2 linked regions of the Oryctolagus cuniculus genome follow. The protein of the gene in region 2 interacts with the protein of the main gene of each other region in a pairwise test. Links are inferred from orthologs where the notes say so. Each region holds a gene or a part of one and is shown on either strand. Other genes may lie near its edges.

Evidence for each region. The genes of interacting proteins can lie anywhere in the genome.
Region 1: the proteins of NFKB1 (region 2) and TNIP2 interact in binary tests that used the Homo sapiens proteins (3 or more experiments, as listed by UniProt). The link is inferred for Oryctolagus cuniculus from reciprocal best matches to the Homo sapiens genes NFKB1 and TNIP2.

What each region holds. Positions count from the first base shown.
Region 1 is NC_091433.1:1,473,574-1,476,070, forward strand, and holds the end of TNIP2 (TNFAIP3-interacting protein 2), read right to left. Parts: intron 729-2,497; coding exon 501-728; downstream 1-500. UniProt on the Homo sapiens protein: Inhibits NF-kappa-B activation by blocking the interaction of RIPK1 with its downstream effector NEMO/IKBKG.
Region 2 is NC_091439.1:62,591,809-62,595,308, forward strand, and holds part of NFKB1 (nuclear factor NF-kappa-B p105 subunit), read right to left. Parts: coding exon 3,352-3,500; intron 2,941-3,351; coding exon 2,771-2,940; intron 2,464-2,770; coding exon 2,361-2,463; intron 297-2,360; coding exon 172-296; intron 1-171.

The sequences.
Region 1 (2,497 bases), on a different chromosome or scaffold from region 2:
GAATAGAGAATGAATGTGGCGCGCGAGAAACGCGGCTGCCCTGCGAATGGCTCTGCCGTGGCAGCGAGGCCCGAGGGACGGCGACTGCGGCGCTGCCTCCCACGGCCTCCCAGCCGCATTCCGCAGGGCAGGCGCTGCGAGCGGGGCGCCCGCTGGCCACTGCCCTTTCTCACAAGCCGGGGCGGGGCTGGCACGCGGGGCCCTGTTCCCCATTCCCCATTCCCCAGGGCAGGCGCTGCGAGCGGGGCTCCCTAGATGTCCTGCTGTGGCTTCAGCCCGACTCCGTCTGAAGGATGGGGCTGGGACCTCCCCAGGCCAGATGCTCCTGACCCCGTGGCCACCGCCAGCCCCGCCAGCCCCGCCAGCGCGCCGTCCGTCTCCACCCAGGCCGCTGACCCCTTCTGTTCCGCACCGAAAGGGGAACCCAGGCGGATGGTCGTCGTGAGGGCCCGGGCCCGGGACACCTGGCCGAGCCGGGCGCTGCCAGGCGCGGGGGACGGTCACTGGCAGCACTCGGCCACGTGCCCGAGGAGCTCTTCGCCCTGCTCGTCGCCGAAGCACCGCAGGCAGTGAGGGCACTGCAGGGCCCCCTGGGCTCCCTGGGCTGCGCGGGGGCCTCTGCCCTCTGCACGGGGCTCCAGCTGCTGGGGCCCAGGCCCAGGCCGCCAGCCAGTGCGCGCCGCGAGCTCCGGCGCGTCAGTCTCTAGGCAGGGGCCCGGCTCCCGGTCCTGCGGAAGGCAGGGGTGTGGTGACACGGGGCTTCCTGCTGTGCCGCAGGGCCCGCCGACAGATGAAGACACAGAGAGCGCCGTGAGTGACCACGCAGACCACGCGCGTGCCCTCCCGTGCTCCCTGCACTTACAGTGGAAAGCAGGCCCGACTGGACCCATGAGCCCCAAGAAACCCAACTGGCAGGCAGCCTTGGCGACATGCCCCAGCCGCCACCACGGGTCGGGGGTGGCGGAGCTCTGGGTGGGACCACACGGACTACGCCCCAGCCCTCAGCACCACGCCCTGGGGCTTGGGGGCCTCCAGTGGCAGCAGGGGGAGCCCCTGGCTCAGCCTTGTCGGCCACGCAGCACCACCTTGCTCCAAACACCTGTCGTGGAGCCCTGTGGCCAGCGGCTTCAGTGTGCCCCCTCCCGTCTGAAACTGGCTTTGCCTCAGTGGCAGGACGGCCTGTCGCCCGAGCCTGTCGCCCACGCCTGTCGCTGAGCCTGTCACCCACGCCTGTCGCTGAGCCTGTCACCCACGCCTGTCACCCACACCTGTCGCCCGAGCTTGTCGCCCACGTCTGTCGCTGAGCCTGTCACCCACGCCTGTCGCCGAGCCTGTCACCCACGCCTGTCGCTGAGCCTGTCGCTGAGCCTGTCGCCCACGCCTGTCGCTGAGCCTGTCGCTGAGCCTGTCGCCCACGCCTGTCGCTGAGCCTGTCACCCACACCTGTCGCCCACGTCTGTCGCCCGAGCCTGTCACCCACACCTGTCGCCGAGCCTGTCACCCACGCCTGTCGCTGAGCCTGTCGCTGAGCCTGTCGCCCACGCCTGTCGCTGAGCCTGTCGCCCACGCCTGTCGCCCACGCCTGTCACCCACGCCTGTCACCCACGCCTGTCGCCCACGCCTGTCGCCCACGCCTGCGCACTGCCACTGACCAACAGCGAGTGCTCCCAACGCCGCCACCAGGGATTCTGCCCGTGGGGCCACCTCAGGAACCCAGGCCTGCGGCCTGCGGCTGGTTCTGGTGGCTCCTGGGGGCCCCGCCCCTGAGAGGCTGCCTGAGCCCGCCCTCAGGACCACAGCCTTGGTGGCTCCTCAGCCCGTCACACGCTCCCTCAAATCCCTCGAGGCCGGAAACCCACAGGCAAAACCAAGTCCCAGGAAAACCTCCTGTTCCTGCCCAGGGTGCGTGCTGGGGGAGCTGTCCTGGCCGGCAGCCCCAGGGCCTCGGGGAAGCAGGAACTGGGGTGTGAGGGGCCACCCGCATACCCAGGCTCCATCCAGCGATGCCAAGGAAGCCGCCAGGGCTGGGCCGGCAAAGCCTCTGGCACCTCCCTGTCACCTGTGGACTCAGGGGGGAACACAGGCCCTGCCGCGACCCCTCCCCCCGTCATGCACAGAAGAAATGGCCCCTGACGAAGACTCAGCCCAAGGGTGTCCACCGTGACTCTCCTACGCCCATGCACGGGGGATGGGAAGCGGAAGCTACCCATGAGGCCCAGGGGCTGCTCGGGACAGACCAGAGCTGGAGGCCCCACACACCCAGCTGGGAGGGCTCCGCGTCCGCGCTCCGGCCCCGGGTGCGCCGCCTCCCAGAGGCGGTCCAGTCCACGTGAGCACAGGAAGTTTACTCCAGGCCGGGGCTGTACCAGAAACTCGCTAAGTGGCCAAAGGAACGAACCTCCCCTGGGGTTTCTGCAGTGTGGACGGGCAGGTCGGCACCACAGGTCACACCGCCAGAGACCTCGCCAGTCCTGACTTACGCCGGCCCCTCTCCAGG
Region 2 (3,500 bases):
CTTTCATGGATAGGGTTTTCAAGAGCAATATGGCTCTTGACAAGCAGACTTTCTTAACAATGAAAGACATGTTCCTTGGGGAATGAAGTCCCAGGAAGACCATCTGTTCTTCCACTCCTGAAGCTCCGGCTTCCTCAGGAGCCACCATCAGGCAGACAGCACAGCACTCACCTGCCAGCTGGCGGCCATATCCAGAGGAGTGGTTCCAGGCACAACTCCTTCATCCTCTCCAGCCGTCTCCCAAGAGTCGTCCAAGTCGTAGAGAGGCTCAAAGTTCTCCACCAGGGGATCTGCTCCTGTGAAGACGCATTACACAGCAGTAGGTAAACCCAGGTCTTGCCAACTTCAGCTGCTTGCAGGGGTCAGATTTCCAAAGGCAAAGCACGGTAGCTGCTACAGGCAATTACCTGGTTAATTTTTAATGCATAAAGTATGTTTCCACTGAAGTTCTTTTTAAATTTTAATTTACTTTGACTACAAAGGTGTCTCATGACACCCTATATAGCAAAGGATACCATGGAAAACACAAGACTTTGAATACTCTTCCACATTTAACCACTGGGCATTTTCCAACTGAACGGCACATCCTTGATCTGAGCCTAATGGACAGCAGTTGACGGGGATGGCGGTGCACCCTCAGGACTGAAGTCTTAACTGTTCGAACTTATGCTTGCCAGGGCACATTTTTCAGCCTCTGCTCTCACTCAAACAAAAGATCTAAGACGCTTCAGGTTTTATGACAGCATGGTCAATTTTATTCCTGTGTACAGCACTGGCAGAGCTCTGATCTTGAAACAAAAAGCACCAAGAAAACCTCCTGCTAGGGTGTGTAGTAACTGAAAATTTTGGGGCTAATGAATCTTGGGAAATCTAGTCTGTTCTTTAGCTTCTGGCAAGAAATCACCCAAAATAACTCAAAGGTTAGAGCAAGAGTTACTTTTCAAAGGCAGACAGTATTTTTATGAGAACATGTTTCGTTTGATGTCTAATGAACAGTAGTAGGCTCAGCATACTGTGTCGGGAGAGGGAGCCTGTTTGTATTTTGCTGGGAGATTATCTGATTGGGACTAACTTCAGTAGTAAGAGAGGGCCTAATGAGGGCCTGATGAGAGTCACTGAACGATATGCCTGCTATTTCTCGATGTCATTCTCCCAGTCCTGACCATGAAAGGAATGGAGAAACAAAGATAAACAGTTTAAAAGGCTGAGAAACAGAGGAGCTGAGCCGTGTCTGTTCCTGATGCGACCTTCGTCATGACTTTGAGCTCAGAACTAGGCTTTTAGCTGAGTTTATTTTCATCAGAAGAACTGCTACTTGCTACTCCTTTAATAGGAGTCTGAGTATGCAAGAGAGGGCAGTGTTGAAGGCAAGATAACTCTACTTGTTTGAAGGCATTTCTTAATCATAATCAGTGGCTTCTAAAATTATTCATGAACATGCTGCAAAGTCTCTTACTCAAGAAAAAGTTCAACTTGACAAAGGAAAAGGCTGGTGCTTATCTGGGATATGATCTTACATGTCAGAAAATTGTGTGCTTCCAAAGAAATGGTTCCTATACCTTCAAGATGGTACTTTAACCTGCTCTGTTTCCTTGAAGTAATTTAACACCCTCTAAAAATTTTTAATAACCCCTGAGGTTATGTTAGGGCAGCTTGAAGTACAGATTTCAATATTGTTTAAGGTTCTAAATGTGGAGTCCAAGATGACTGGGAATAATGTCTATACTTCACAGCACAAGAGGATGCACTAGAATAACCCAGGAACGAAGCAGGGAGAGGAACAGAGGAGAGAAGATGAAATCTGGAAATTCAGACTGCGGAAGCATGACTTACACTCTGCCACGCATTGGGACAAAGGGCATGAGACCCGGCCAGCCATGCTGGTCTTGTCTCCTTGGCTGTTAAGATGGGCATCACTGCAAAGGTTACTGTGGATTAACCGAGCAAATGCCTGGCCCACAATAAGGTCCACAAACAGCAGCAACGGTTAGTGCCTCGCACATGGTTATGCCTTCTCCTACTCTGAAGGAAGTCTTTGACTTCTCCTGAGGACCTCTGACATGATCTGAGACTGGTGCTGCTCAGAATGCTTAAGTAACTAAACTCTGCTTTAGGAAGATCCTTTGTCAAGAGAGTTAATCTAAATAGCCCAAACCAAAACAAACAGATGAATCAGAGAGTATCAACTGGCATGAGGATCGGGGAGAAGCCAGGATTACTAGTTCAAACAGTGTCTCTATTGCAGTTAAAATGTGATCAGCCACAGAATTTTTATTTACCTGTGCTTTTCTGTGGCTTTGCTGGAGCTGGGTTTGAATTTCGGAACACATTTTCCATCAGCGACCACCAGGCCTTCTTACCTGCTGCTTTGAGAAGAGCTGCCAGTCTGGTGGATCCTCTCCCAGCCGCTATATGCAGGGGTGTAGTTCCATCGTAGGTGGTACTGTCCACGTGGGCATCGCCCTAAAATCCGGCCCACACAGGAACAGGCTTAGCGAAAGGTTCTCTCAGCCTTTTGTCCCCACCTCCTCCTGTGGGCATGGCCCCTGCGGTCTTATCTACTAGCCCAGTCACTGCTCTGGGCTGGCTCTGCCAATGAGGTCATCTCCAGTTAGAGATGCTGGGGTTGGGGGAATGCCTAAAGGTGCTACTCTGAAAGCTTGCACAGATGTTAAATCAGTAAAGCTGAATATAGTCAGAGAATTGTTAGCTGACTTCATTGTTTTAAAGGATCCCTGAGTCTCCCCTGGGAGATAAGTTTGTTCTTCACCTCCAGGAGCAAGCAGCCGGCCAAGGAGATGTTGTCATGTTCCACAGCTAGGTGCAGTGCCGTGCGCCCCGACTTCTGCTCCTGGGCATTGACATCCGCCCCAGCGGCCACCAGCAGCAGCAGGCACGGCAGGCTATTGCTCAACACGGCTAGGTGGATGGCATTCAGACCTAGGGCCCAAGCAGAAGGAAGTGGCAAAACTGGATCGATCACAGGGACAGAGGCTGCCTGTCAGCTCTGCAGACACTATAGGTGTATTGTTCTGCCCTGCAAGCCATAGGCTCCAACTGTGTTCTCAGGAGCCATTGAGAGTACATAAACAGGAGTGGAATCAGTGCCGCTTCACAGACTTCAAGATAAGTGTTTGCTCAGGATTCTGCCTTTTCTTCCTACTCACTCCTCCAAATTAAAGGAATTAGTTACAGTGAGCTGAGTGAAAAGGAATACCACAAGAGACAATGAGCTCCAGGTGCCTAAGGAAAGCCCTCTGGGCACAAATCAAGTTAACACACGTATTGAATCCCTGGTAATTAGAAAGCTAAGAGAGGAGGTTATACCAGCACTGCATGCTTGTCTCTTACCTTCCCCATTGGGATGGTCAATAAGTAGTGGTGCCTTTTTGTGCTTGAGTAAGACACTGAGAATTTGGTCTTGTCCTTCTTTGGCAGCTAGGTGCAAAACAGAGTTGCCCAAGCGGTCCAAAAGACTCAGGTCTGCCCCAGCTCGCAGC